Linked DNA regions of Xenopus tropicalis. The protein of the gene in region 1 purifies or fractionates together with the protein of each later gene. This does not show direct contact. Links are inferred from orthologs where the notes say so. Each region holds a gene or a part of one and is shown in the gene's direction. Other genes may lie near its edges.

Region 1 (16,566 bases):
GTATAATTTGCACTGTCACAGAGCACAAAGTGATGAAGTTAATGAAAACTCTAATGTGAATAGTTCAGGAGAACAGAATGTGTTGCACTACTGCACAATTACCAAATTCTTGTAAACAAAGTATTGATCACTTTAGTACATTCTTCTGACAGAAGCAGCTCATTTAGAAATACTGGGCAAATTTGCCTCTGGACAGTAATTGATTGCAGCCAATCAGACTTTTGTTTTCATTGTTCTGTCTTTAGCTGTCTGGACATCAGTTAATAGAGCTTCTCCAGCAGAATCCTGCATTGAAATCCGTTTTCAAAAATGCAAACAGATATTTTTATTTTTAATTTTGAAATTTCACATCATGGGGCTAGCCATATTCTTCATTTCCCAGAGTGCCAAAGCCATGTGACCTGTGCTCTGATAAACTTCAGTCACACGTTACTGCTAAGCTGCAAGTTGGAGTGATATCACCTCCCTCCCAGCAGCCGATCAGCAGAACAATGGGAAAGTAGCAAGATAGCAGCTCCCAGTAGATATCAGAATAGCACTCAATAGTAAGGGGCCCATTTATCAAAGTAAGATCGCTTCTGAATACAAAAAAAATGTAATTTTTTCTAAGTTTTCGTACTGTGCATATATTTTGTGACTTTTTCGTTAATTCGCACAACTTTTTCGTACTTTGCGACAAAAAGCACAACAATTTGTGCGACAAAATCGCCAAGGCTTCCAAACACATACACAGCAGGATCAAAGTCAGAAAGGTTTTCCCGCCGTTTATGATCGCTCGGATACGAAAATTTTGTGAGTTTCGGTTCGCCAATACAATATTACCATGACTAATATGATTTTTTCGTAAGCATTTTCGTGATATTTGCGGTCATCAGGAATTATTGTATCTAATTCGAATTTTACTCGTTTTGGGATTCAATCTCATACTTTGATGAATCAGCCCCTTGTATGTATGTATGTATGTATGTATGTATAACTTTATTTATAAAGCGCCACAAGGGTACGCAGCTGTACAATATTACAGAATACAAAATTACACACAGGGAGGACAAGTGATATAATAAATAAATACAATATATATATATTTATATATAAGTGCCATGTGGTATGAGACACAGTAGGAAGGAGGTCCCTGCCCCGTAGAGCTTACAATCTAAGTGGTTGGGTAACAGGCACAAAGCGGGTATACAGGCACAAAGCGGAAGGTAAGAGTGCATCAGGTATGGGCATTTGCCCTTAAGCGCAGGACTAGGCAAAATAATGTTTTAGTGCTCCAGAAGGTAACAGCTGAGCTTTTTCTTAAAGAGAGTGGGTGAGTTTTCCCTACGGAGGGATTCAGGGATAGAGTTCCAGAGGTAAGGAGCAGCGAGATAGAAAGGTTTAAGACGAGAGAGCGCAGTGGGTGTGGATGGTGTAAAAAGACGGAGGCTCTGAGAGGAGCGGAGGAGACGACCAGGAACGTGCAAGGAGACCAGTGAAGAAATGTAGTGAGGAGCAGAGGAGTGAAGGGCTTTAAATGTTAGCAGAAGGATTTTGTAAGCTATCCTCTGCTTAACAGACAACCATGCAAGAGCGTTTAATTGAGGCTGAACAGGTTCCCTCTTAGGAGAGAGCAGGAGGATCCTGGCAGCAGAGTTTAAAATTGATTGCAGGGGAGAGAGGTGGGAGTCCGGGAGGCCGGTTAGTAGGAGATTGCAGTAATCTAAGCGGGAAAGGATAAGGGCATGGATTAGTGTTTTAGCTGTTACTTGTGAAAGAAAGGGGCGTATCTTGGCAATATTGCGGAGGAAAAAACGGCAGGTTTTGGCAGTGTGATTAATATGGTTAGCGAAGGAGAGTGACTGGTCAAAGATAACCCTAAGGCAGCGTGCAGAATTTACAGGGTTGATGGTCATGCCATCAATAGTGATGGTGAAAGGAGGAGGAGGGCCAGGTTTGGGTGGGAAGACCATGAGCTCAGTTTTAGCTAGGTTAAGTTTGAGGTGGCGCCTGTTCATCCAGGAGGAGATAGCCAGGAGGCAGTTACCAATCTGGGTTTGAACATCAGCGGTTAGTGCAGGGGTGTCTAAATATATCTGGATGTCATCTGCATATAAGTGATATTTAAGACCAAAGGAAGAGATAAGGTCTCCCAAAGAGAGAGTATACAGGGAGAACAGCAAAGGACCAAGCACAGAGCCCTGAGGCACCCCCACACTAAGCGGAACCGGGGTAGAGGATTTGTTAGCAAGAGCGACAGAGAAGGAGCGGTTAGAGAGATAGGAAGAGAACCAGGATGCTGCTTGATCCCGGATACCCAGAGAATAGAGAATTTTCATAAGGATAGAATGGTCGACAGTATCAAAAGCAGAGGAAAGGTCTAGGAGAATGAGAACCGAGTAGCGTCCTTTGGCCTTGGCAGTCTGGAGATCATTTGCCACTCTATATAAGGCCGTCTCAGTGGAGTGCGCAGGCTGAAAACCAGACTGCATAGGGTCCAGCAGATTATGGGTGCAGAGGAAGTTAGTTACACGAGAAAAGACAAGACGTTCCAGGAGTTTAGAGGCTAGGGGCAGGAGAGAGACGGGACCCCTTAGTAATCCAAGTTCAAATCTTGTTGGTAAAAGAATAACATTTTAAATGTTAGAGTGAATTCTTTGCTCTGTAAACAGTGTATTTTAGAAATAAAAAGTACAACATAAAAATCAGACAGAATCCCTAAGTTGTTTTGTTTGTGTTGCTCTTTTAAGGATGCATCAGACTATCCAAAAAAGGATTTAGTTTAAAGGGATTCTGTCAGAATTTTTATGGTGTACTTTTTATTTCATTTAATATTCTTTTATTTTATTTAATAATTCACCCTAACATTTTATTCCCAAACCAACAAATGTGTTTGTTTAGCTGTGATATGTGTGTGTAGGCGCCATCTCAGTACATTGTGCCTGAGTCTGAGCAAAAGGGAGGGGGATGATGTCACATTTTAAAATTAAATTTAAAAACTGTTTGCTCTTTAAAAATGGATTTCAATGCAAGATTCTGCAGGCAGAGTGCTAGCAACTATTGCGTTTTGTAAAAAACATGTTTTCCTGTGACAGAATCCCCTTAATTTGTATCTTGTGATTTAAACACAGTTGATTAATTTCCTTATCTGTGAATAAAAAGATGATTACCCATTGTAAGTGTAAGGAGCACCGGAAGGCTAGGCGCAAATCTCCCACGGCACGCACGTATGCGCAGTAACGCTGGCACTGCTTGCCGCTGCGTTACAACTTGGCTTACGCCAATTTTGGAGCCAAATTTAAATAGCGCTCCTTGGTTTGTTTCAGTGCCAAAACTGGTTTAGTGTACTATGACTTTGCTAAAGCCTATGTTGTGATTTCTGCTGGTTTTTTACTTTTGCCTGTCCCTGACTTACCTTACTGCCTGCCACTGACCATTTGCCTGACTTTGACCTTGTATTCGCCTAATTCCTCTGGTGCCTCGTTGATTAACCTTGGTCATGTGTAGGATCCCTGTCAACGCCACTGCAGAAAATCCGGGGCTGCAAAAAGGCGTCGGGGAATTCCGGGGTTGGCAGGGCTCTCCTGCTTCACCTAGGAGGTTACTCCTGGCAGTATAACAGTAGGGAGCCATTTGGGCTATTTTACACCTGGACAGTAAATTATAGCAGCAAATCAGTTATTTTGAATTCTGCAGGAAGAATAATGAAAACAAAAAAGTAATTTGTTGCTATTGGTTACTGCACAAGTGATAACTCATTGGTCAATTTTGTACCAGTGTAGAATCCCCATAGTAAACAATAGTAACAAATCACTGATTGCAGTAGACAGCTAAAAACTAATTGCTGATTGGTTGCTATGGCTTATAGTTCTGTTACAAAATTGCTCTATGTTTTTAAATGAGGCCCACTGTGTTCTGTGACCCTCTCCTACATCTGTGCAGGCAAAGCAGCCCGTGAGGGGCCTGCTAGAGCAAAGTTGTTGCCAGTCAACAGATCAGCTTTTCTCTCAGCATCACTAGACTAGTTTGTAACATAGTTCAGAGGTGTACCTTTCCATAAATCCTGCATAAGTTTCCTCTTACTGTATATACTTAAAGTGTTGTGTTTTTTTTTTTATCTTCTACTTCCCTATGTGCAATCAGCATATTGCTGAAGAGTTTGGCCTGGGAGCCTTTGTGAATCACCCCAAACCTGGGATCCAAGCTGCAGCAGGCAAGTACATGCATTGTGCTGGGTCAGAGTGTTGCAATTATCCTTCATTATGTTAATATGCTGATTCATACCGTCCAACTGAGGTTTGAAGCATTTATTTCAATGCCATTCCAACTTTCCCAAAAAAGTTGAATGCTTACTGTGTGTAACAAGTTACTCTTCTGTGGTGATTTAGAAGAAAGGATATAAGTCATTTACCCTGCCATCTAAAAGCTGTTGAGGTCACGAACAAATCAATAAGAACAGTTGTTGGCAAATTGTAACAATCTTTATTAATTTGTGGTTTGAGAGGTTTTTTTGGTGGAGGAGGGGTTTGTATGTCCATGAATATTTGTGGAAAAATGTAAAAACCACAAAAAATTTGTGGTTTTCGTGTTCTTTTCATTTTTATTCCACAGTTTAGTTCGTTGGTGCTTTTTCAATTTGTTTTTTAATTTGTTTGTGGTTTCAGTGGCAATGAGTTTATTTATGGTTTAAAAAATCTCTAAAACCACGACCATCTGAATGTTCATAAATCTGGCCCTTACTGTCATAATTTTGATTTTAACATGCTGCATTATTGTTATACTTAATCAGCCAAAAGACCAACTCCAGCACAAGTGGTTCCTGCTTCCCCTCCTGCTCACAAAATCACTAAACCTGCTGCTAAATACGGAGTGCCTTTAACAACAAAAAAATCTTCAGATGCTGCAAAGAAGCATCATGATAAGAAACCCCAAATCAGACACAGACAGGTGAGTTGGTAATATCTTTGCACGGCTATATACCCATGTCTTGTTAGTAAACAAACAGGAGCTCTTTCTAGTATTCTTTAGTCAGGTTATTCCATGTTTGTCACATTACATTCTGCTAAGACAGGCTTGTGCAAGCCTGCCCCTGAGTTGGCAGTTTATGGGCACATGTATCATTCAGATTATTGTGTTGGTGGTAAAATCAGGCAAAGTTCTACTCATTTAGCAATCTCAACAAACAAGTACATCTTATAATGTATGGCCTGCTTTTGGATTGCCAACACAGCTTTTGTGCCATTCAGGTTTAATCACTCACTCAACTAATTTTAATATTGTCTAAATAGAATTTATGTTTAAATGTCCCTAAACCCTAAAGGTGGCCATACACGGGCCGATTGTAGCTGCCGATATCGATCTGATATATTGGACCGATTCGGCAGCTTATCGGCCAGTGTAGGGGCAGAAATGAGGGGCATGCCTGACTGATATCTGGCCTGAAATTGGGCAGATATTGATTGGGCAGGTTAAAAGATTTAGTTGGATCGGGGACCACATCAGCTCGTTGATGTGGTCCCCGAACCGACTGCCCCATTGCCTCCATTATAATTCAATTGTTTGGCCCCAGGGCCAAACGATCGAATAAGCCTACATGTTCCCCGATATCGCCACCCGTAGGTGGGGATATCGGGTGAAGATCCGCTCGCTTGGCGACCTCGCCAAGCGAGCGAATCTTCACGTGTATGGGCACTTTAAATGTGTTTTTTGGAGTAATCCAAATAAAATGGCAAATTATGTAGAAAATACATAAAACCAAACTGCCGTTATGGTTGTCTAATTATACAGTGCTTGCCCTTGCCTCATTTGAGTATTGGCCAATTAAGGAGGAGAAAAAATATTTATACTACTGCACTGTGTGCAGTTCAAAGTATTTGGAGTTATTGCTCATTTATATATATATTATATAATACACAGCTGCTTATGGTTTACTTGGTCCTCGAACAACAGATAGAGCCCCTATCTGGACACCTTAGTGTAGCAACATTCTGGGTACCATTTTGGAATTGGTGCTTAATAATCCCTGTGCTAAACTGACTTTTATTTTGTTTTAATTATTGGTTTCCCTTGATACTGTTTAATGGATGAAACTGATGCTAGCACAGCAGTCTGATGGTTGTTAACTTTTTCTTAGCAGTGAAACTGTATTGAACTTTTGCAGCATTGTCAGTGCCATTTTTTATTATTCCAGTGATTCCTAATTGTCATATTGCGCAGCTTCATGCAGGGAACATCTGGAATTCTAATCTAATGTATAGTTTCACTCTTTGTCCAGGCCCCAGCAGTACCACTGAAGAAAGTGAATCCTGTAGACGAAAGGAGGAAAATGTTTGAGGTATACAGAAAGTTGCCCATATTTCTGTCTCAGAACTGTCAGCTACACAGATTAGCTGCAGGGAAACCTTCAAACCTTTCCTCCTTGTTTAGTGTTCTCACCCTTTAACCTTCAGTCACTTCTACTTCATGGCTCAGCCGCCACTAACCTGTTGGGTTGGAAGAAGTACCTTTACTTACATTGCTGCTAGGAGTTATTTAGAATTGCATTTCTTGCAGGACGGGGCCAAGAAAAAAAGGATGGATGTTAGACAACTGGAGAAGGAAAAAAGACAACGGGAACAGGTATTATTTGTGGCTCTCTACTTGCTTTAAGGGACGCTGACATGTTCCAATTAAGAAATGGTAACTTATTTTGTCTTGATCTCTGGTGACTCTTAAAGGAGAATGAAAGCCTAACTAAAGACGTAGGCTAGAAATGTTGTAAATTATGTTTTGTGCTTCTGTACCAGCCCAAGGCAACCACAGCCCTTTAGCAATAAAGATCTATGTCCCCGAAGATGCCCCCAGTAGCTCCCCATCTTCTTTTCTGCTGATTCACTGCACAAGCTCGGTGCTGCTGTCACTTACTGAGCTTAGGGGCAGCTGCACAATATAATGTATATATGGGATATAAATGTCACAATATTAGGCTGATTAGTAATTAACACAGATGATTACTGCATGGCAGCTCTGAAACCAGTGCTATTAGCATCAGACTTTAATCATCAGCCCATTAGGATCAGCTTAAATAACAAACATCATTTTCTTTGCTTGATAATTTCAGACGACCCCTTAGCTTCTCAACAGCTGCTGAGAATCAGCAGTATGTGAGTGTGGCAGACACTTCTAGCAGAAGTGTCCATTATGGTCACTCCTGTGACTTTAAAGGACTGGATTATTACTACTATAGAGGTGTTGAATCTTTAGGCTGGTTCAATAAGCTTATTATATAAAATACGGCATGTCTAGCCATATTCATTTTTAGGGTTTAGTCCTCCTTTAAAGGGGACCTGTCACCCTAAGAAATAGTTCCAAACTCTCTTCTGTTGTGTTTGTGTAGCAAAATAAACTTTACTGACACTAAAAATTCTTTAAATCTCGTTTCCTTAATTGTTTTGGAATTCACAATTAGAGCACATAGACTGGTGCCATTTTGTGAACACTTTTATTAAGGCAAGCTTTGCAGTGGCTCCAAATCATGTGTATTCACTAGAATAGGGAACCTAATGCCCATGCACAGCAGTGAGGGGGGGATGTGAGGAATGCAGTGATGCTAAATGGAAAGGGTAAGCCCCGTCCCCATGTCTGAGGCATAGAGATGGGGCAGGGCAGGCATTATATTGACCGCTTTTTAAATACTGGTATCGGACCCCTTATCCGGAAACCCATTATCCAGAAAGCTCCGAATTACGGAAAGCCTGTCTCCCATAGACTTCATTATAAGCAAATAATTCAGAATTTTAAAACTGATTTCCTTTTTTTATGTAGAAATAAAACAGAACCTTGTAATTGATCCCAACTAAGATATAAATAATCCTTATTGGAGGCAAAACAATCCTATTGGGTTTAATTAATGTTTTATTAATTTTTTAGTAGACTTAAGGTATGGAGATCCAAATTATGGAAAGACCCCTTATCCGGAATACCCTTGGTCCCGAGCATTCTGGATAATGGGTCCTATACCTGCACCTTAATAACAGGTATTGATGGATGTGCTTGTAACAAAAAAATTGGTTTCATTTTTAGTTTGAAGAGGGCTTTTATTATACAGATTTTTATCTGTGGGTGACAGGTCCCATTTAATAATTTTTGTGCCTTTATTGTAGTTCTCTGGATATGCACTGGAAGTTCAGTGAAGAGAATCTGTTAAATCTATAGAGCTTAGCATGCATAGTAACTTATCTCCATGCTTTTATGGTGCCAGAAGTAATTTATTTATCCCTACACATTTCTGCTGTTTAAAGCAGTCCTTGGTCTCTTGCCTAATGCAGATACTCTAATGGTTCCCCCTTTTTAAAATATGCTTTACTGAAAAGATTGTTTCTGTTATTGCCATTTTAGTTTAATCTACTAAGGGCCGAACAGATGAGGAGACTGGAAAAGGAAAGGGTAAGATTATGTACATGCATAATGTTCTTAAATGTACCTGTTGTCCCTAAGTCTATATTTTTTATCCTCTTTGGTCATGTTTGGCCCGCCAGGAAACCTTAGACCAACTCTCCAAACAATGTTCTTACCTCTGTTTACCTTCTTTGGTCTACTTGTCTCTTCTTTTTTCATACTCTTCTCTATCCTTCCCTCTATTTCTTTAGTTTCATACAGAAATAGGGAATACCCATGGCATAAACATACAAGACAGAATTCATATACAGATATGGGAACCCTTATCTGGAACATTTGTCGAGAAAGCTCAAAATTACAGGAAGGCCATCTCCCATGTTAAGCAAATAATTCTAATTTGTGTGAAAAATGAGAAACGTTTTCCTTTTTCTTTGTAATAATAAATCTTGCCTTGTAAATTGCCTTGTACTTGATTCCAACTAAACTACTGGATGCTTAACTGTTATTTAGCAGACTTAAGGCACGTTGATTCATATTGCGGAAAGATCCCTTATCTGGAAAACACTAGGTCCCTTGCATCCTGGATACTAGATCCCACTTGTGCAAAATATGACAACACCTTGCTTACAGTATTGTAACAATGATCCTGTGGGAATATGTACCATGTATCCATTTTGCTGGATACTACTAAATATACTTAACGTCTTAAGCTTCAGCTATAATTATTCCTTTCATACACTAAATTTGCATGACCAGTAGATGTCAGCAGAGTAATTGCAAGTTTTTCTGAAGGAAAGCTGCATAAATACAATCTTCTATATGTACGAATGTACAAAACTGCCTAAGCAAATTGTGTTATATACAAGCAGTACATTAATGGAACTTACTGGGAACAATATAATTATAAAAGATGAATAACTAAATATAATATATTCTTTTACACTAAAAAGTGTTAAGATTAAAATAGATCTTATGCCAGTGCTGCAAGGGGTTTGAGTTTAGCTTTGAACATATTGAGAGAGTATTCTCTACAGAAGATTTTGTTGTCCCATCTTATGCAGCATTGTAGTATAGTATTGCATATCTCATGCATGCAGCCAAAGTATCCATGACATTGAATGTTTATTGGAAGAGTAAAGGCAATATTGACAAACTGTTTTTGGTCTGGTTGCGCTGAGGTGCCATTGTATTGGTTCTAAAGTACAGCGGCTACATTTCCTTTAAACTAAATTGTTACTGCAGCTAAACATTAATCCTGTGGGCAGTATTTATCATGAGCTGCTCCTAAATATGGTTGTAGTTATCTTACACAGCTCCTCTGAACTGTCCTAGTAAAGAATATACTTTTTTGCAGACTTTCCCAGATTTCCAGAATCTTACTGCTTGTTTATAAGACTAGTTCTAATAAAAAAACATGTCAGGCTGCAACACTGACGCTATATTGTTATTTCTAGTTGGAGCGAATAAATCGTGCACGAGAGCAAGGCTGGAGAAATGTAATCAGCTCAGGAGGAAGCGGAGATATTAAGGTATGAGGGGACTCATACCTGAAATAAAGTCAATCGTATGAAATATGTGCTTATAAACAAGATTCACATTTCATTCAAGTGGAATGGGACATTGGGATATAATCCTTAGTTCACATTCCTGTTGTTTCAAACTGATAAAAGCCACTACTTTTTTATTTTTTATGTACACTACATTCAGTAAAAGTGTCATTATTTTCTTTTTGAGAATACTATTGGAAAATTAAGGTGGATCTTGTCTGTTTCCGTAAGGATCACCATCGGCTTATCTCTGATGAGCCCAACAATATAAAATGCAATCAAGCTCAGAAGGACTTGGTAGTTAGAGATACCATTGATACTGATGAAACAACTCTGCTTGTTGTATTAAATACAATGCCTGTATGTGTTGATATAGTACACCCAGTATGTAGTATAATGTTATTGACCATCTATTGTTTTAGGCACCTTATTTTGGTGGAGGGGGAGGTGTAGCACCCCCACAAGGCATGGGTAGAGGTCCCTATGAGCATTACCATTCCATTTTTGATCAGATGCAGCAGCAGAAGGAAAACATCAAAGCAGCAGTGGAAAAAGAGGTGAAACTAAAGGCAGATATCCAAAATCCTGACACTTATAGCAGGTAAGAATGGATTTTAGCTGGTTTGAATGCATAGTTTGAATTCTCGACAAGTACAAGGATCTCTCACAGATTTGTGTTGCCTACAGAGTTCCTAAGCATCCTGAACAAGAAAATTGTCCTTCAGCTCATTCTCCATTCCCAGATGGTGATGCAGTGAGAAGGGAACTGAAGAGGCTGCAAGAAGTACACAATCAAGCCATTGGCAACAAGTTGGTTTTTATATCTAATTTGTATTGTAGGTTGATAAGCAGATCTTCTCCTTTTCATTCTTTCTCTTGTTATCCATTATACAAGGTTCTGTGTAGCATAACTCTGTTTTATATTGTAATGTAAAAACAACTATGGCATTGTAGTCCAGTCTATACTTCAACCACCTAGTGCTAAATGGCACATAGTGGATCTGGACCATGACTCTACTCCTGTTTGCTCTTTATTTACCTTTGTGGGGCACCTCCCACTTAGTGTTACTGCAATATGAACATTGGCTTGCTGTCGGAATCAGAATCTTGCAGACCTGGTAGAGGAAGGCAACTTTAAAAACTATGACCAAATCAAGACCAGACTACCAGGAAGACCATCTAAATTATTTAAATACCTGCAATTAAAACAAGCTTTTTGGCAACAATTAATAATAATTACAGATCAGCTAGATATGAGTATACATTATGGTTTAGCAACCAATTGAAGCTAGTTACCAAACTTTATAGAATTTTAATTGCTTTGATACCCCTCCATTCCTAGCCTCTTTTAGAAAAAGGGAAAAGGGTCATACCCAGACTAGACCCAGACAACTGAGACAAGGCAACATCTAAAGCCTATGGCTACTTAAATCCATCTGAAGACAGGACAATTTTAAATACATGATCGTAAAAGGACAAGAACCAAGGCCACATTTAGAAATGTTATTTAGTCATGCCCCAGTATACAAACCTACTTATATGTGAACTCCACTGCAAATTTAACACTTCCAGGAAGTTTCCCTAAAAGTGTGTCTGATGGAAGTAATAAATTACATTGTCTTGCAAAATAACTATAACAATAATGACAATTTATGTCATGTTTTCTGTCTTTAGGATTCAAGGACACGTTTCTGCAGAAAAGGCAAGACAGGTTGAAGAGTTTTTGCAACGGAAGCATGAAGCAATGCAAAATAAGGCTCGAGCAGAGGGACATATGGTAGGGAAACAGCATGTTTACACTTTTCTTTTATAGGGCTCATTTGCAAAGGCAGCGAAAGAGCAAAATTCAGATGCAAGTTACTATGTTTTTTACCCACAATGCAGCTTTTCGTTTTTCAATGTGATAGAGATAACCCACTAAGTAGTTTCTGCCCCTTGTCTCCTGTCTTGAATGCTTTCCTTATAGGCCTGTATGGTCCCCAATGATCTTTGTCTAGGGCAGTAATCCCCAACCAGTGGCTCACCAACCCCTTGGATGTTGCTCCCAGTGGCCTCAGTGCCTGTGCTCGTTTTTTAATTTCTGTCTTGAGGGCAAGCTTTAGTTGCAAAAAAAGATAAAAAAAAATGTTTATTGCCACATCCTCTTGTAGGCTGCCAGGCTAAAAAGGGGCTACCAAAAGCCAATCACATCCCATATTTGGCACCCTCAGGAAATTTTTGCATGCTTATGATTCTCTCCAACCTTTTTGACATATGAATGTGGCTCATGGGTAAAGGTTGGGGAGTTACCATTTACACTGATCTTCCTATGTGTTATATCCTGTTACCCTGCTCAGCACCAATAGGGTTATAGAAAACATAAAGAAGGGTTTGAGCCAGTATAATTTGTTTTGTATATTTCAGGAAGCTTCTTTATCTCTTTTATCATCATTTAGTATTAAATAACCAAGGTCATTAAAAATTGAGCTCCCATGAAAGCAAGCTTACCTGGTGCTCTGTGTAATAATTTTGTGCCTCATAGTAGACGAGAGAACCCTACATCTATCATCACAAAAGCACCTCTGGCAGAGAGAATTAGGACATATGCCCACCCACAAAACAATGTAAAATTGTTCAACATGCTCTTCAGAGCACTTTTGAACCTTTTTGCACTTTTAAACTGCATGGGTCCTTTAATCTGCTGATGCAGGAAATGTATCTTGATGGATTTCTGCTCAGTTCTCTCACTCAGTATGACCAGAGCTATAGAAGTTGTGCAGAGAAGCATAAGGAAATGCTTCCCGCTTTAGTAACTTGAACTTTTGCTCCAACAAAACAGCAGGGGGCATTCCTGTTAATGATGCTGATGCCAACATAGGGGCTGATTTTTGGCATGCATTTATCGGAGAATCATTCCCATGTGGCATTAGCCTCACACACCTATGATATTAGCAGTGTACTAACTGTCATCATCTACAAAAAAAAAAAAGCAATCTAAATTCCATAAGTGTTCAGATGAGCATAGTGAGTAATTGTATAAATTGAATGGGTGGCTTTATGTCAGATCTTTCAGTCTCATGTCCCTGTGCTCAACAGTTATGGAAGGGACAAAAAAATCAAGAATTTAATAAATAATATCATGGGGAAACAGGAGACCCTTTTCTTATGTTTTGGCTTGGCAATCCAATAAGACAAATACCTGTCTCTGTGACAAAGACACCGTAGTTATGGTTTGAGGAGTTATGGTGATTCGGGGGTGGTTTTTTTAGATGTGAAAACAAAACTTAGCTGATTTCCACAGACAGGCAGAGAAAAGGCAGATCTGCTGTATTCCACGCTGTGTTCTGCATGCATTGACTGGCACAGTATCGGCCTGTTGGGACACAAACTGGACAGATTTTGGTGTATAACATGATTCATTTTAGCACTGAAATCCAAAGAACATAGAATGCGCCACTAGCCTTAGGTGTCCCAATGATTTATCAAATGCATTGATTCACAATACAGGAATTTCGGCATTCATTCAGTTTCAGCTTGCAGTATGTTGGCAATTCACTTTTGCTTGGCTGTGGTTGGCACACATGTAAAAGTTGCAAAAGATTCATATAGTGGATGCTTATATCAGCTATCAATGGCTGTAAGCAGCATAATGTAACAGTTTTTCATTTTTGGTATCTTTTGTGTGGAATGATGTTATTAATCTGTTGGATAGCAGAGTACAGTAAGTCACATGAAATGTACATCCTGTGGTGTAATACATTATACACATTATAAACTACTGTACATATAATCATACATTCTACTGTGCTATAGTTGGTATCCAGTACAAAGTACATTTTACGCTGCACACTTATATACATGTTGTATGGTATGCACTTAAATGAGCCACACATTACAAAGTACCTTCCATGGAACTTGCTGTCATGCTTGTTATTAAATATAAAGCACATACAATGATAATTGCTATATTAAATTATAGCATTAAATTCAGACTTGCATGCTAGAAATATCAAAAGACTGCAGAACTCGTAGGACATGTTTGAATTAGAACAAGGTGTATTTTGGAGACCATCTTCTAACTTCTAATATCTATACCAACTTTAGCCTAGGTTTACAATATGTTGCAATCATTCCTTGTGCATTTTTCTGGACATTAATTAGCCTTATTCAAGCCAAATATAATTCCCCTGTGTTAGATCCGGCAATATAAATTATTTTATCACGTAAAAAACCATACCATTTATTAAAGTCTTTGTTTATGTGTGTGGGTGTGTGTGTGTCCTGAAAACCCAATGCCAGATGCAGCGAGGTGGTGCAGCTTATAATTCATTGCCATTAACTCACTCTTTCTTGCTGGCTTTGCTAAAATAATTCATTGCATTAATCTATGGTTTTGTGTTTAGTTTAGCAAGGAGACTCACAGCATTGGAATTCTGGGTTTAAACATATGGAGGTTACAGATAAAACCACTGAACATTTACACAAGCTTTGCTCAGGCAGCAAAAATCGATAGTAGATCAGTGGTCTTGACCCTGCCTTTCATTTATTGCTGCACTTTAGTATGATAGGTTGGCTTTGCCAAATTTCTTTACATAGCCGCTCAGCAATCAGGTCATTATTTACAATCACTACCAAGCAAATTGAGCAATTGTCAGTATTTTGGGGTTTCCATGCTAATTTCTTCCACATCAAAATGTGACGTCATTATTGATCACTTAGAATGGAAAACCTGTGCTGTGGAATATGTTGGCTCTTTATAAATACATGATAAATCTAAACTGTGCAGCATTTTTCTAGAACATCTCTTTCAATTCCCATTCCATTCTAAACCCTATTTATATGGTAGGGTTCGGATTCCTAGGATCCTTGCAAGAATCAATTAAATATGTTCACAATCTGAAATGAATCTGTCCTTATTATATCCAAGAGGTTTTGATCCTCCAAGCACATCCATTTGAATAGAAGGATTAACTAATCCAACCCTCCCATGATAGTGCAACACAATTTTAAATGCTTGAATAATTTTGAAGTTTAAACTTTTTCCATTTTTATGGATTACCAAATTCCATATGTTGCTGTTCTACCTGTGCTGACTTGTGAAGAGCAACCAACGGGCCAGTGGCACATAGGGCTGTTGGATTGCCCCAATCTACCTTGAGGAAGTGTTGTGATCCAGCAGTAGGAACCACTAATAATCATTTCAAGTGCTTCTTGTATAGTTACTTTAATACATGTCTGCAATAGCTTTGCCTTGAGCCATAAGCAAAATACTTTCCACTAACAGATGCTCTTAGTGCTTTCTCCTCATTTGGATTGCTAAGTGCTGATTTGGAAAGAGCAAGCTCACATACACATTTCTACTCTTTAGAGTAAAGATAACTGAGTTCACTGTTCGGCTTTATAGGTCATTGGAAATTACTAATTTTTGGGGTTTAAGACAGAGGATTACAAGGGGAATGAGGAAAGGGATGAGCAGTAACATAGATGATTTCAAAAGGGCTGTAGCTCCTGCCATTCTTACATGTGATGCATTGAATGGTGAACAGGACGCAGTGCACAACCTGGCAGCTATCTGTGGAGGCAGGCCAAATTCTGCAGGAGGAGGCAAGGCACGCAACAGAGAAGAAAAGGTAGGCTTCAGCATGCCTGCGCCCCCTCACTGCCCCATTACCTGACACCACCGTATCCTTGTGCATGCTCCCCAAATGTTTTGCCTAACAAATATTGTGGAAAGCTTTGGAGGAGTCCAAAATTTATTTAACACATCACTGCTGGAGGCTGAAAAGGCTAACCAATTTAATCCTTAATGGATCAGGAATGTGCAAGAATCTTCTTTGCCTATCTGCTGTTTGCCATATCATGCTATTTGTTGTATGTTTTTCATTTTTCATGTGTTTATTGTTTGCTAGCATCTCAGTGTCTGAATGGTTTTGTGGTCTTTCTGTTATCCGATTAATGCGTTGTGAGCCCCTGTTGTGTGCAAAGAGATTTGTTAAAGTCTGCCATGCTTTGCTACTTTGCATTTCTTGTATCCTTGTTTGGCTTTTCTGTGGATAAAGCTTTACTCAGCTAATTTGTTTCTGCAGTTATCATCCTGTGTGATAACATGGTTATTTACCTGTGGTACCCATTATAACTTAACACATGGACAGTCTTTATAAAGTGCATCTTTCTATGCCAAACCTACAACCATCCTGTTGCTTCGTGACTTTTCCTCAGACATTATACCTAATTACAATGGTAACTAATCATTAAGTATGTTAAAGCTTTATTATGTTGATCCAAGAGAAGGCAAACCAGACAACCCATTCATCGCCATTTCTCTTGTCAAGTAAGTCAGCTCCTGCAATCAAATGGCTCTCTGGGCTTTTGATCCCCAACTAGTGGCTCGGGAGCAACATGCTGCTCACCACCCCCTTTGTTGTTGCTCTCAGTGGCCTCAGTAGGGGCCCATTTTCTGGCTTGGAGGCAAGTTTTGGAAGCACAAAGACGTAGTCTCACTCCAAGCAGACCCTCCTGCAGGACAGCAGTCCACATGGGCCTACCAAACAGCCAATCACAGCCCTTATTTGGCATCCCCAGAGAACTTTTTTCTTGCTTCTAAGGTTCACCAACACTTTTTACATCTAAGTGTGGCTCACAAAAGGTTAATCACATTCATTTTTTGGTGTTACTGTTCCTTAAA
Region 2 (16,566 bases), on another chromosome or scaffold:
TCCCAACATTGAGGTTATGACATTAAGGTAAGTAGAAAAAGGTTTTTAGCAGAATGCATTTTTGGTTGGAAAACAATATACAGAAAAAATAATATTTTATGTGCTGTAAATGTTTTTTTTACATTGAGACTTTTTCAGATATTTACTTTTTTTTTTAAAGAGGAGGAATGAAGGGTGGGAAGTTTTATGGCTCTAATACTGCTGTATCCTGTGTAAGCTATGTAGACCTTATTAAGTTGAAATTCACCTTTACTTTTAGTGTTATAGATGGACAAATTCTGATCAACTCTTTAATAGGGCTTCATTTATATTCATTATTTGGTGGGGGGGGGGGTTCTCCAAAAAATAGCTTTCCTAATCTCAGACTGGGGGATAGTTTTTTCAGCTGCTGCATTCAGGTCAAGGGAACTTGTATTCTTTCCCATCCAAAGTGCATCCAACTTTTTGCCTCTTCTCAGCAACTGTCACTAAATGGGTCCAATCCACCAAAAACACAACTGTGGTTTATGTACAGAAACAAATAGGCTTTAAAAGTGTCAAGAATTAACATTTATCGTGATTTAGGCAGAACACAATATATTAGGGTTAGTAGCCTATATGTTCTAGGCTAGGCAAATATGCCTAAACTCTGACATGTGGAGCCTGAATCCTTTGGTGTTCCAAATAATAGAAAAATGTTTGGTGTACCACAAATTAACTTAAAGGAGATGTAAATGTTAAAAAAAACAAATCATATATTTAGCCTTAGACTACTATTCTCTACACTTTACACTACCTTAATTTTTAATATAAGACTACCTTAATCCACCGTGTCTTCAGAAGGAGCAGAAGCCCCCACCCTCCTGGAAAAAAAACCCCCTGCTCATACACAGGCTGGCTCCTGCTGCCTCCAGGCATGCGCAGAAGGGGCTCTCCACTCCGACAAGTTGTCAGTATAGTGAGAGACCTGAACAGGAAGTGGGGGCGGAGCTTCACTCTTAACAAAGAAGGAGTGGAATAGAACAGAATGTAACTCAGCAACCAGGTAAGAAAGAACAGAGGGACAAAGGCAGACAATCTGGGAAGCTGTTTAGAGTAATTTTATTAATAGAAAAAAAAAAGTTTACTTATTCTTTAACAGTAGCTGATACAAAGTAAGTATCATGTCTTCTATTTCAAATTTCTTTATGGTCCTGATGCAAGTCTCTTGCAGCAATAATGCTGGAGATTCACCTATGATTTCCCTTCCTTTTCTGTGATCTGAAGAATATGGAAGAAAAAAGATCAGGAGGGAGATTCAGCCATAATTGCTTACTGACTAACCCATGTTCTGATAATTTTTGTTGTAAATCCCGTATCTAAAGTTCTTTCTCAGTCCCATATGTGATTGAGATCAAAATTATCTTTCTCTCTTGACCCTAAATCAGATTAGGAATGCCAGTGCCATACACTGGATTAAGTTTGGGATATTTCCCACTACTTAGGTCATGCAAAGAAACGTCATAAGTTCAATTTTCAAAGAGGCTGTAAAAAAGGCATGGCCCCTTTAATGACAATTGTCAGTTGATGGATTATTTTGTGCATGGTTATGGCTAAACGGTAGTCTGTTTTGTAAGTTCCCCAAGTAACATTGGTCACATCCTGGACATTAAAAGCCAGAGCCCCTCCAGAGCTTATCTGTAAAGCAGTCATATTGTCATCTGGCACTTTTTAATTAAAAGTTGCATTATAATTTTTTTGTGTGAAATGATGCACCCTTCTTTATTTGTATTATATCCAATATTGGTGGTTTGCCTACATGGTTACTTGGAAACAGAGACCATTCTAGCTAACAGTGTAATTTCTTTTTCTCAAGTAACTCTTGATGGAAGGCAACTTTAATTGCTTTATTTGTAGAACAATACTACAAGGGTTGTTAAATCTGTGTTACACTTTTCTTTAAAAAATCAAGCATCTAAAAGCTGGCGAATGTTAAAGTTAATGGGGGCTGTATTTTCAAAATTCAAGATATTTTTTCATTCAAGTATTCAAGATTAATTTGAAAGTGTAGAATGTGATTTCACTGCGTTTGTGTTTTTTTTCACATTTTTGGGCAAAGGAGATTTGAGTTTGAAGTTGGTTTCATAAATAACAACACAATTGAGATTTTCAAGTTGAATTTTTTAGAATTAAAATAAACTCAAATTCAAATTTTTATAAATCTGCCTCCCTGTGACTGATATGCTGTTTATTTCATAGTGGTAGTTAATGAAGAACTATGCTCATTAATTCTAATTTACAAATATTTCAGCTCAGTTTGTAATTGTATTTTTCACAGTGTAAATAACATATCAACCCTGGAACCAATAAGATACTGCCATAACCTTGCGGAGTTGTATCTACGGAAGAATAATATTTCCAGTTTAAATGAACTGTACTACCTAAAAGAGCTTCCCAGGCTAAAGATTTTATGGTTATCGGAAAACCCCTGTTGTGGTGCTGACCCTCAGAAGTATAGAATGACAGTTCTTCGAAACCTTCCAAATCTTCAAAAACTCGACAATCAAGGTAATGCTAAAAATAACATATCTCCATTAAGGAACCATACTTTAACGCAGTAAAGCAGTTTCATTACAGAATTGTGGTTATTATTATTATTTTCAAATTTGAGAAGTGTAGAGAACTAACCTCTTTGCTTACAGCCTGCAGAAGTCTTTCATCGCTGCTGAAACTCTTGGATGAAGACAGGATTTTTATTACTTTTCTGTTTACATCTCTGTAAAATTTATTTCAGTCTCTTCATCATTATGTATAATATTAATCCCAAAAATGTTTTTCACTGCTCGTCTGACATTTCTTGCTATTTCACACCTGGGAACTTAATATAAAAGAAATGAGTTTATGGTTCATATTGGGTTGTTTACATGGCGAGGCCAGTTTGACAATCAAAAGTTCCGGTAGCATGCCATTAGGACATTAAAACATGTAGAGAACATAGTAGGTGGTTTTTGGCGAATTATATACCAACATTCCTTTGGTCTTCTTTAAAACAGCCTTTATTAAATCATTGGCACAAATATTATAGCAACAGTTTGGAACATATAGGACCCCTTGTTAAAACTGGCATTTAAAGGTTAATTTACATTAATTTTATTTTCCAGATATAGAGGCCTGTTTATTTAACATTAGGAATATGCCTTGGTTCTGCCTTTGTCTTATAAGCGCTTTTGCAAGCGATTTTGTCCTGCATGGGAACATGAGTATATGTAGGCCCCTTTTTTTCTATATTGTCTATACTTACTGTGCTTCACGGATGTAGCAAGTTGACTATGGTCTCTATAGGAAAGAATAGGCTGTGTTAACTCATGTGTTCCCTTGCAGTGAACGCATAAAAAAGCCACCGCAAGGGAACACATGACAAAACACTTGAATGTGTGAGAGCCCTAACTAATAATGACTGGAAATTAATACTTGGTGAACCAAATGAAAAGAAAAATCTGACTGTGCCATGTTGTTATTTGCAGGTATGTTATAGTTTTCATATTAATACAGGTATGGGACCTATTATCCAGAATGCTCGGGACCTGGAATTTTCTTTCAGTAATTTGGATCTCCGTTCTATTATTATTCTACAAAAAATCGTTTTATCATTAAATAACCCCAATAGGATTGTTTTGCACCCGATAAGGATTCATGATATTTTAGTTGGGATCAAGTTCTGTTGTATTATTAATGAAAAAGGAAAATTGTATTTAAACATTTTAATTATTTGATGGAGTGTATTGGAGATGGCCTTCCTGTAATTCAGAGCTTTCTGGGTAACGGGTTTCTAGATAACGGATCCTATACCTGTTATAATTAGTTCTATTATTACTATTAATACAGTTTAATCTTCCTCTTATTTCACTATAAAGATTAACTGATTTGTCATTATTTTATATTTATATGCAATCTACATAAAATATGGTGAATTGTCGCTTAGACTCAATACCTTACAGATGTCACTTGGCTGTCCATCATTGTTTTTAAGGGTTAGGATTACTTGATAGGCTATATACAATTAATAAATTTGTTTTAATGAAATTTTTATAATTTTTACAGTCAATGTCTTTCATGACAGGAAAAGTACAAAAAAAAAAAAAGCAAAGCTTGATACATTTTTACTTGCAATATTAAGTACTCTGTACTGTTAGAAATATGTCCATGTAACGTTTTGTTGTCACAAATGGTGGATAGTTGTTCTAAATTATGATATATTTTTATACAGTGCTCCATTAAAAATGCATGTAACTGTAGTGCACAAATGCATATTAAGGGGATAATTAAAAGTGATCTATAACAATTGTAGGGTCTTACAGTCACACTTAAAGGAACAGTAACACCAAAAAATGTATATATTTTAAAGAAATTAAACTATAATGTACTGCTGCCCTGCACTGGTAAAAGTTTTGTGTTTGCTTCAGAAACGCTACTAGAGTTTATATAAACCCTGGTGTGTAGCCATGGGGGCAGCCATTTAAAAGAAGAAAAGGCACAGGTTATATAGCAGCTAATCCTAATAAGAAAAAGACACACACACCGTTGGGCAGACATTTTTTTAATGAAAGACATAATGTAACCACTCTAAGCTGGATGGTCCTCCAGCAGGTTGCTATGCCTACAAGAGGGGGGGACAGAAAAGCCATGCTATTGAGACTTGAAGCGAAATGGATTGAGTCTCTTAATACTATTGAACCAAGGGGAATGAATGAGGCTTGGAGTCTCAAATGTTTTCTGTAAACCACAGGACTATACATTGTCAAGCTAATAACCCCTTAAAAATATTTTTGCAGATTGAGGCCTATACTGCTTCCTACCTTTACAATGGACTGAACTACCAGATTGTATGAGTAACGTTTTGGATACATAAAGATACTATATATTTTTGTGGTGTTATGTGGATAGACCCTGCGGTAATTTCCATTAATTGCTCTGTTTATGTAATTGTTATACCTGGCCACTAGATGGAGCTGGTATCCTTATCACATGACTTAATTGGTGGAGTGGGGGTTTAAAAAGGTGTTCACCTAGTGTTCTTTATACTGCACCAGAGGAAGGACCCCAGAGGTCCGAAACATGTAGTGCGTGCTATGCATCTCTAAACTAATAAACAACACAGAACGCATTTGGCTCTCCAGTGGATATTTTTTATTTTTATATTTTAACATAAACCGTGTAGAATACAATGGTGTCTTATCTGTTATCTGCTATGTAACCTGTGCCTTTTTTCCAGCTTCAATGGCTGCCCCCATGGCTACACAGCAGCTTATTTATATAAACTATAGTGGTGTTCCTGAAGCAAACACCCCAGATTTACCAGTGCAGGGCCACAGTACGTTATATTTCAATTACTTTAAAACACTTTCATTTTTTGGTGTTACTGTTCCTTTAAGACTCAGTACATTTTCTCTTTAGGTAACAATGGAATTTAAAGGTGTTTTGGGCGGGCTGACTATGTGACATACCTAAAAGGTACAGTGCAGCTTCTCCTGAATTCCAACGCTGTTTGTTCAAGAAAATAGAGACTATACAAAGTAATTTTTAATATTCAGTATTATTTTTTTGTTACTTCTTTCAATAGTGGTGACAGAGGAGGAACTTACTCAAGCCCTTACAGATGGTGAAGAACTGACAGGCCCCCAAACAAAAATATCAAATTCAGACAACAGTCATGATGAGACATCTATAGACCGTAACTATGGTACCAGAGAGTCAGAAAATGATTTGCTAAACTTTAGCATGGAAGAAACCAAGTAAGAATTTGATTGGATTGGGTTTATTCAGTTAGATTTCCAAAGGATTATTTTTACTATACTTTGTTTATTTAAATTCCTGTACACAAAGTAGGGTGACTTTGGGCTGGAACCAGTGCCTGCACAGTGTGTTTTTGGGGTTTGAGGGGAACTGGAGTCCCCAAAGGAAGCCTTTGCAACAAAGAGGAACAGAAACATTTCTTGCAGTGCCAGTTCAGAGTTATACACTGATAATACTTGAGTATTATAATTATGCTTTACTTATGCATCACCAACATGCTTCTGCAGAGTTTTGCACAGATTGTTCAACATTCCTGCCACAGTGGCGCTTACAATCTAAGGCCACTATAAAAATCACTGTGGTTTTATGAGCAGGCCATTTTGGAGCGTTTTTGGTGCATCAGTGCTAACCATGGTGCTACTGTACTGTACAATTATACAAAAATATCCTGTAAATTATATGTTTTCAAAGTTCTGATTGTCTGCCACCAAGTAAAGATTTATAATGCTATATGTACAACCTGCGGCCCTCCATTCTTTTCTAAAATTATGACTCCAAGCGTACTGTAATACTCTCAGGGTATAAGTAGATGCTGGATGAAAAAGTATATCTCAGTTATTAGAAGGTATATCTGTGCCATAGGATAGTACAGTATGAGAATAAAGTCTGATATGTTACATTCTAAACACAGTTTTTTATTACTGAATTTGTTTATAATTGATTTTGACCCGTACATTTTTATATGTATTTTTCTAAATGATCTCTATATAGTATTTTTACCCCCAATTGTAAAATTTAGGGATATTATAAGTCACCGAGGAGTTCCATGACCAGCACGAAGCCATAGGTGGTACTTTATTTATTATAATATACAAGTATTAGTGAGTCATGTGACAGAAGTTACATCACTAAGCCCCGATTATAACTGATATCATCACTAAGCACCATTTAAAAGGATATAATTTACAGTTTGGTCCCATAGGGAAATGACCAAACTGTATATTATATAGTGCAGTGCTGTCCAACTTCTACGGTGCCGAGGGCCGAAATTTCTCTAGCATACATGGTGGAGGGCCGCTAATGGAAGCCAGTTTTGACCACTCCCCTTTTTGAAACCACACCCACTTCAAACCACACCCATTTTATCACAATGGTGGTAGCACAGCAAAATCCCAAATGCTTGGTCCTTACTGTGGGGATATCAACCATCATTCATATGTGATAGAATTATGTCATATTAAGATATACCCTTAAATTCCATATGCCTCCTCCTCCCCTGTGGATAGCAGAGCAACCCCCAGTACATAATTACACACCTTTGGGACAATTTAATGGCTATTTCCAACTGCTAACAAACTCCCACAACAAACCCCTGCCAGGTTCACCTCCCACAAGCAGCATAGGGCAAGCAGAGTATAGCACACACAGGCATCACTCTGCCTGTCCTATGCTGTCTGTGTGTGCCATACTCTGCCTGTCCTAACCTGCCTGTGTGTGCCATACTCTGCCTGCCCTACCCTGACTGTGTGTGCCATACTCTGCCTGCCCTACCCTTCCTGTGTGTGCCATACTCTGCCTGCCCTACCCTTACTGTGTGTGCCATACTCTGCCTTCCCTACCCTTCCTGTGTGTGCCATACTCTGCCTGCCCTATGCTGCCTGTGTGTGCCATTCTCTGCCTGCCCTACCCTGACTGTGTGTGCCATACTCTGCCCGCCCTACCCTTCCTGTGTGCCATACCTTCCCTGACCTATGCTGCCTGTGTGTGCCATACTCTACCTGCCCTATGCTGGCTGTATGTGCCATACTCTGCCTACAGTACCTATGTCTGAGGTGTGAAGAAGTGAACAATGGGAGTGATTACAGTCTGAGCCTGAGGTGTGAACACTGCAGGGGTTGAACAATGCAGAAACTAAAAGGTGTGAAAAACACAGGGGATTACATTTTTAAACAATGCAGAGGGATTACAGCCTGAATCTGAAGTGAGAACCATGCAGGGGGCCAGTTAATCTCAGTACTGATACCATTTAATGCTTACTCAAAGGTAAGCCATCAAAGCAGCCAGACAGGTGGGGGGCCACACAGAGGGGGGTCGCGGGCCGCATGCGGCCCGCGGGCCGCCAGTTGGACAGCACTGATATAGTGAATAAAGTACCCCCTGTTGTAAAATATAAGGATATTATCAGTCACCAAGGAGTTCCATGACCATATAACCATTTTATACAGGTCATAAAACTATGAAGTGACTTCTAATATCCTCATATTTTACAACAGGCGGTACTTTTTTATTATTTATTATAATATACAAGTTTTAGTGAGTCATGTGACAGAAATTACATCACTAAGCACCGATTGTAACTGATCATCACTAAGCACCGTTCATAAGGATATAATTTACAATTCAGATCTAATTTACAATTTAGATATAATAGGAAAACTGCAGATCTTTGTGAAACTGCTGGGAACTTCAGCATTAGGTGGTATAGCACTGTTTGCCTTTCACATTAAAAAAATAAAATCCTGTAGTTTTGTGGGAGTTTTCTTTATTTTTTGTGCACTTTCTCCGTATAGCTTTTATTTTTAAAGTATTTTTAAATATAACTGAGAAATAAGTTAGTCCTCTCTTTGTGAGTGCAGCCAATACGTAATTGCAATAGAGGGGTTAGTCTTACGTGACTTGCGTGATTTTTTATTTTAAACTCGATTCATTTTTTTCCCCCGAAAAAGTCGCAGAGACTTTCGCAAAGTCTGCGACTTTTTCAAGATTTACTATGAGTCTAAATGGCTAAAAATCCAAATTTGATAAAGTGTGTGCACTTTAGTTATTATAGGTTTGTAAAATTATGATCCATATGGACTGTAGATAATTTTCATCTTTTTCTTAAATTTTTAGCAAAATTCGGGAACAACTAGGCATGAAACCGCTCCCCAGGGACAAATTTTCTTCTTTCTCATCACCAACGGATGGAGATGGTAGCAGAAAGAAAAGGGTATGTGCTAAAATTTATAAGGAGTGTAACAAATGTTTTATAAAAAACTTTTTAGGATAGCTCTTTTCAGCTCCATAAACACTAAGGAAATATTGCTACCTTATTTAAAATATGAAAAAAACAAGAGCACACGTGCAATAGCTTGGCCCTTAGTACTCTTTTCCTAAGTACTTGGGACCCCCTTGAAAAATCTGGAACTCTGTGAAGAGCACAGTTCAGTCCTGCCTTTTGGCATGAATTAAGGACATGGTCCAATGTGGGCTGTGTGTCCTGCTGCTCCTACCTAGCACCTCAGAGTGACGCACAAGGTAGAAAGGACACCTACATGCCTCCCCCCAACTGCAGAGCTAATTGCATCCTTTTTTGCACTTTGCACGTTGCATTTGGGTTTGCAAATGAATCCTATGGTCTTCAACTTGCTTAAATAAGATTGTCTTGTGTATGACCTGACCTTAACATACCATTGTCTTATGTGTATGACCTGCTAATAAAGGGCACCCATGACAATAAAGCCTGCACTCCGGTTTGGGCAAACTATAGATTTTTTTTAAAAAAAACAGCCCCCGCAGGCGTTAGGGCACCAGGCCCGGGAGGGGGCGGCCACATAACTTAGCACACATGCGCATAATGAGCGAAGCTCCCTGCTCACTCATTATGCCCATAAGTGCGAGGTAGGAGAGGTGCATGTGACTCACCCGCCTACGTCACACACATGAGCATAATGACGAGTTGTGACATTTGCTCATAATGCGCATGTCTGTGCCACAACATGGCTGCCCACCACAGGAGCTCCCTCCTGGTTCAGGCAGCCTAGTGTTGTAAAAGGGGTATTTAAAAAAAAAAAAAAAAAAAAAAAAAAAAATATATATATATATATATATATATATATATATATTATATATATATATATATATATATTGTTTCCTCCAACCGGAGTGCGGGCTCCTCCTCAGTTTAAAGGCTCCTGCAAATTTGATACAAAAAAAATTTTGCACCACCAAACAGAGCCTTGTCAAATTGAATTAAAGGCAGAGACTGTGTTAATTACCTACCTTATTAGTTCACCTGCAACAAGCCACAGCTTATGTCCTGTAGCAATTACAGATTTCCTTGCTGTTCTCCTTTGTTCAGAAACAGTGTTCTGTGTGATACAGATGAGACTTTATACAACTTACTGTTGAAAAACCTTTTCTATAAAGCTGTTTAGTCACTGGTGGCACTGCTTTAGTTTCCCATTCTCTGCAGCACTTGTTGAGATTAAATTCTCATTTTAGCACAGTTCCTTTCTGTGTTTAGTTTAGAGTTCACAATACAGCTACTTACCTTCTTTGGGGCTGGATTTTTCTCTAGCCATGTCTGCCATTTTAGTGCATTGCCAGTCTTACAAGAATAATAACTGAAAATGTAAGGTAAGGCCGAGTAAATAAAAATTGCAAGCTTTCAAGTTTATAGTATATACATCTCTACTTCAGGCTTTAAGATGTTACCCTGTAACATATTTTACATTCAAAATATCTCTTTTAAAACACTTAATAGCATTCAAAAATTTGAATATTATAAGTTCATTTTGAATAAATATCATTATCATAGATAGATAAGAGGATAGAAGAAGAAGAAAAACTCCCCCATCCCTGTCCCTGAACCGTCACAAAAAAAACAATTAATCACTCACAAGCCGACTCTGGACACTCTAGGGAATGCAGGAAACTAACTTTCGGTTTGAACAGGAAGTCAAGCAATCACCACATCACTTTTTTTTCTGCTTTGCCCTGTACATGAATGGTAATGTTGTTATAAACCATTTACAATATTGCAATTTCATATGTTAATTGCAATTGCATATGTTAATATGTTAGGAAGGTATATTTTTAATGTAAAATATTGGTGTTACTATTCCTTTAAGTCCTACAAGCTAATTTTTACCTGGTCTGGATCCTAACAATTAGGTTGTATCTGTGCTATTACCTTCTGTTTTAGGTGGCCTTCACCATGTTTCCTTTCGTGTGTCTGTGGTCAATATCCTTGCTCCTTTTCCCAAAATGTTCTCATCTGCTGCCAAATATAGTTTAATGCAGGATAATACCTTGCTGACCCTCTTTGTTGCTTGCTAATACACCTAATACGCTTACATTTATTTCTTACGTGAATAAATTAAGAACAGTAATAATTTTATATCATTTTGACAGCCATTGTTCTTATGTGTTTTCAGTTGAAAAGCATATGTCCCAGTCTGTGCTTTAAATAAAATGTCAGTCTTTGTTGACTCAACGTATGTCTGTTTTTGAAACAAAAACTTCTCTAATTTTTTAAAATTTTAAAATCGAACAAACTCGTTTCCACAAATGTCTTATTTACTACACGACTAAGAAAGGTTGGGAACCCCTGGTTTATAATAAACAGCTATATCTCAATACTTTTTTATTTTAAGCCCCTTTCTAGGCCTCTTAGCCTAGAAAAAAAACTCTTTATTAGCAATTTAGCCTTTCTCTCAAATCGCAACTTTGTTTTAATAAGAGGTTTTTCCCCAGATTCCCCTAGAGGGCCAGCGCCATAGGGTGGCAAACCCTGGAATGATAATCTTGCAACTTCTGGTTAAAGCAAGTTAAATTGCTTGTAAGAAACTAACTCTAATATTGATGTGTGTGCACACAGTACAGCTATATTCATAAGTATATTCATTACTGTACTTTTTTTTTTTTCTTCAGAATATTAACAGCACAGACAGGGATAAACATAACAATAAATATACACAGTTACAAAGATTAAATGCAACATGTTAAAAGGTACTGGAGTTCCCTGCCCTTATAGCTTACAGTCTAAGAGTGCATTTGTTAGAATATAAGCCATAAGGGATGGTGTTAATTTTAGATAAAACCTGGAGTAAAGTACTGGGTTAAACTTAGAGTACGAGTACAGGTATGGGATCTATTATCCAGAAACCAGTTATCCAGAAAGTTTGGATGGGAGGGCCACAAGAAAAAAAATTATTTTTTAATAATGATTTCGTTTTTCTCTGCATTTATAAAACAGTACCTTGCACTTTATCCCACCTAAGTAATAAGTAATCCTTATTGGAGGCAAAAGAATAATAAATGTTTAAATCATGGAGATCCAAATTACAGAACGAACCCTTATCCAGAAAACCCCAAGGCCCTTGCATTTTGGATAATAGGTCCCATTTCTGTACTTGCATCATTGTCAGACAACCATGGACCACACAGTAGCCAACTATGGGCCACAATTCAGTGAGAAACTTTTCTCACTTTTTCATGAATGCACAATAGGTCTATTAGAATTTGAAACTGAATTGGGAGATAAGGATTCATTGATTTATTGAATGTTTTATTTTATTGTCTTTCATTTAGAACAACATTCTTAATGCAGTCTTATTACTGCTGAAAGACCTGGACACTGAAGGACTGGAAATTGTTCAGAGAACTGCCGGACAGAGACTTCACCAGTTAAAAAAGAAAGAGCTCCAGCAGGAAACATAAGGCATTATGTCAAAACTAAAAGTGCACATACAAGATGGACGTCATGCAACTTACTGTGTTTTCTCCCTTCAAAGTATAACAACCTTACAAAGTAAATCCACCAAATACTTACTTCAGAGATGCCTAGGCATTACCTATACATGGGTCTACTTTTTCTATAATCATGCCATAAGTATGTACAATGCCATCTTTATTGTCAGAATGCTGAAAAAAAAATGTAAATGTAATTGAGTTGAGAGAAAATTGAAAAAATATGGTTCCCTTAAACAATCGGTAACACCAAAAATTAAAATATTTAACTACATGATGCATTTGTTTGTCCCGTATGTTTAACATTTTTTTTGAATGTAATGTGTTTAGTGCTGTTCATGTGTATTCTCTTGTGTAAATGAAGCCATACTCAGTATTTTGTGTTCAGTGGTACATATTCGTAAAATTTCAGTAAATCTATTTTTTCAAACAAAAATACTATATTGCATTTTCTATAAATGGTGCGCTTCACAGTACAAACTAAAGTTGACCATCTGCTGGTTTGGTGACACAGGCAGAGGGCTGACATGATGATTTGGTCCCTGGGCCAACAGTAGGGGGCTGATTTACTTAAAAAAAAGTCGCAAAATGTTCGTTTTCAAGTCGGAACTTTTCCAATTCGGGTCGGATTCGTGGGTTAGTAAATCAGCCCCTAGGTGTCTGTACAGATTGATCAGGAAAGGATTGCTTCAGCGGCCCAGTGCATTGCTCATGCCCTATGCCATACAAAGGCAGATGAACAGCACAGTTTGGAGTGGTTGTGTCAGATGCCAGTGCCAGCACTTGAGGCCAGGACTGGTAATCTACATATTTTTGAAAATGTGAAATAAGCTCTTCTAACCTGCTGTAGACTGCTATTCTTTATTGGACCTGTGGGAGGATGTTTAGATCTCAGTAAATGCCATATTAGGTTTTCAATATTCATTGCTTGCTTAGGTGAAAATCATTTGTAAATGCTTTTATAGTATTTTTATTTATTTATGTAACAGGCCATTTAAGCCCCCATTGTTCTAAGCCTGAATAACAGCCAAACAAATGCCTAGGTGTGGGCATTAGCTGGTATGGGATACCAGTTAATGTTCTCCTCAAGAGAGAACATGAGAACCCAGGTAAATGTATGGGGGGGCAATTTAATGTGGCAGTTGTCCAGCTTGAATATATTACAATATTTTCACAAACAATCCCTTTTTTGAGTAAAAGAAGAGAATATTTTTAGGTTTTATGCATAAAATGTATTAATGTCCCCATTATATTTATGAGTGACTGCAGAGGATTTTTCTGTTTCCTCCTATCTACTTTAAAATTGTTCAGTGGTAAATACAACTTTTATCATTTGCAGTATGTATGTACCGGTATGTATGTGCAAGTTAGCTAGCTTTTGGCAAGGAATCTTTTGGGAGGTCCAGAGGTAACTGTTTTTTTCCTAATAGTACAATAACATTCTTGGTACTGAATATTTTGTATATTAGAAGGGTTTTATTGTATTGTTTAGTCCACAATGTTCATCTCTTATCATGTCTTACTACATCAGGTTTGAGTTATACATTATTTTGCAGTTTTATTTTCTACATTTCTTTACAGTAGCCTTGAATAGCAGTAACTTATGTTTCATGCCTGTTGTAATTCTAGGATTGTCATTTATTTTTCTGTTTATATGCCAAAATTTAGAATTAGACATTTTGGCACATGCACATTAGCTGTGTCCTAAATTAGAAAAAATACAAATTATTCCCATTCGTACATTGATGAATGTGCCCCATAGTCTTGTGGTCCTAGCACCAATCTCTCTCGTAAGTAAGCCAGCCTGTTCCGGACATTGCTGCCGCTTCTGGAAATATATTAGCAGGTTATAGACCTGAAGAACCACTCATGCTTCAGATATCTCTGAAGACATTAAAGGCCAAGAGTTGTTATTTTTTCTTCAGTCGGTATCTTTAAAGGGGTACACAGAAAGGGGTTGTGGGAGCACTCCAAGGCTAAATAGAGTATACAAATACAATGGAAGTGCGAGTGATCTGGCCAAATAAACTACAAGCATACAAAAAGAGAGGGGGATTGATCAATGCACATTCCCTGTTCCCCTGTTTCATAAGTAAATTGTCTATGCTATTGCATGTATTGACGAAAAACGGGTTTTTAGTTACAAAATTATGATCATAAGATTGGTAAGCCACCATACCACGTCAAGGTAAACCCCATATGGTGGTCCTATCTATTTACCTCTGGTCATATTTTTCAAAGGCAACTGAGCCTGTAAGTGCAGCGGCAGTGCATTGCGTAAATTTAAGTTGTTCTAGGAGCAACAACTTATATTATCAGCCCATGCAAGTGAGATGTAATTTTAATTTTCCTTCTTTCCTTTGTTCTATGGGGTTTTAATACAAGAATTTTTTAAATGGTTAAAATAAAGGTAAAGTTTTATTTATTCACAGGTGTGCCAGTAGAATGGTGTGTGTCTTGTCCACTTAGGATCTCTTTCTCGAATTATGTTTAATACACACATACTGTGCACCCTGAAGCTGTAGTGCAGGGTTTTTTCTTCCTTTTTGCACAAATTTTTCAAAGGCTGGCACTCCCGTGCACTGTTGCCATTCTTGACCTGGGAGCGATTGCCAGGACCACAGCTTGGTTCTACAGGCTTAATCCTCCCCCATTTGCGGGTTGTAAAGGAGAAGACTGCCCATTAACCAACACCCATTTTTTTAAAGGCATAAGACCACCATTAAAGGGACGGGTGTGGGGGTGCTAAACCACATGGAAATTTGGCCATTCTTCCTGCAGAATAACTCTGCTAAAATACATAGATACACAGAAAGGGGTTGTGGGAGCACTCCAAGGCTAAATAAAGGGGACCTGTCACCCTAAGAAATAATTCCAATTTCTTTTCTATTGTGTTTGTTAAGCAAAATTAACTTCACATACTATATAAATTATATACATCTTGTTTCCTTCAGTCTTGGGAATATACATTCACAGCCAGCAGACAGCTGCCATTTTGTGGGCACTGTTTTAAGACAAGCTTTGTATCACCCCCAAAATCTTGTGTATGTGCCAGAATGGGGGACCTGATGCCTTTGCCCATGCACTGCCTACACAATTAGATGGTGAGAAGGTAGGGAGAATGTGAGTGCTGAATGGAAAGTTTAAGTAATTGTCTTCCCCCGCCTCTATGCCTAAGGCATAGAGGCGGGACAGGCAGTATATGATTGACAGCTGGGATTTTTAAATGCATTTAGAATGGGTTTGAATGTGTTAATATAAAAATGAATTTTGGTTTCATGTTTCATTTGAAAAGGACTTGTATTATACAGCTTTTCATGTCTGGGTGACAGGTCCACTTTAACAGTACTTCCTCAAGTCTCTATAACTTTTTTGACCTTGCACACAGGCTGACAAAATCCCGAAATTCTCCAAACTTAGCACTGCATGATGTAATAGCTAGATATCTTTTCTTTCATATTAAAAATGCCTCTCTTAACTCAGAAATGCAAAATATTTGCCACAACAACGCTAGCCCAACAGAAAGGGGCGAATTCACAAAAGTGGAGAGTGCCCTTTTTTGGCATAAAAATTGGTGGAAAACACTTTCTCCAGATTCCCAAAAAGAATTCCGCCTAAATTCCGACTCAACCGTCACTTTTCCGTTTTTGGTGAAAGAAAGACAGTTTACAGATACTTTTGAGAATTTGTTGTTTAAACAACATTTATACAACGTTCTAACAACATTTTTTCCCCGATATTTTTCACCCGACATTTTCAAAATGGAGTAAAGGTCAGTGTAACTCTGTTAGATCAAGTCTAAGCTCTTCTGTTTTGTTTCACCCAGTCTCCAATTCACATCTCTGGTAGGGGCCCCATTGGGGGATCGTTAACATATTAATGGGGATTACCAGACTATTGTTAGGGAACAAGTTTCTGTCTCACCCTAGAACAATAGGTGCAAAAAGCCTTATTAACATTTTATAAACAAGTAAAACACTGATTAAAAAAAAAGTTAAATTTATATCTTATATATAAAACGTTTTAAAACGTTTCCTCACATTTGCATGATTATGCTAGTTTTAGCTTAATCAATGAGGCAATAACATTTTGTGTGAATATATTGTAAACATTTTTATTTAAAGGAAAAGTAAAGCCTCCCAGGCACATTTTTAGCAGCAGTGCCCCCTCTTTAATCACTTCACTGACATTTGCCCCAACTAATCTGTGCCCCCATAGCATGTCCAGAACTACAGAGCTGCTTGACAGCATTGGTCCCCCACCTGTTCCCAGCAGCCATCTTGGTGATCAGCAAACAGCACA

What was found.
Region 2: the proteins of nek1 (region 1) and cfap410 purify together in Homo sapiens (affinity purification with mass spectrometry; 3 studies listed by BioGRID and IntAct, with this or other methods). This does not show direct contact. The link is inferred for Xenopus tropicalis from reciprocal best matches to the Homo sapiens genes NEK1 and CFAP410.

What each region holds. Positions count from the first base shown.
Region 1 is NC_030677.2:50,024,941-50,041,506, forward strand, and holds part of nek1 (serine/threonine-protein kinase Nek1), read left to right. Parts: intron 1-4,122; coding exon 4,123-4,192; intron 4,193-4,768; coding exon 4,769-4,926; intron 4,927-6,253; coding exon 6,254-6,313; intron 6,314-6,531; coding exon 6,532-6,597; intron 6,598-8,355; coding exon 8,356-8,403; intron 8,404-9,809; coding exon 9,810-9,884; intron 9,885-10,324; coding exon 10,325-10,503; intron 10,504-10,589; coding exon 10,590-10,712; intron 10,713-11,576; coding exon 11,577-11,679; intron 11,680-15,427; coding exon of another isoform or gene 15,428-15,511; intron 15,512-16,566. UniProt on the Homo sapiens protein: Phosphorylates serines and threonines, but also appears to possess tyrosine kinase activity. Involved in DNA damage checkpoint control and for proper DNA damage repair.
Region 2 is NC_030685.2:48,519,214-48,535,779, reverse strand, and holds the end of cfap410 (cilia and flagella associated protein 410), read left to right. Parts: coding exon of another isoform or gene 1-16; coding exon 17-27; intron 28-2,296; coding exon 2,297-2,526; intron 2,527-5,578; coding exon 5,579-5,750; intron 5,751-8,643; coding exon 8,644-8,740; intron 8,741-12,105; coding exon 12,106-12,234; 3' UTR 12,235-12,700; downstream 12,701-16,566. UniProt on the Homo sapiens protein: Plays a role in cilia formation and/or maintenance. Plays a role in the regulation of cell morphology and cytoskeletal organization. Involved in DNA damage repair.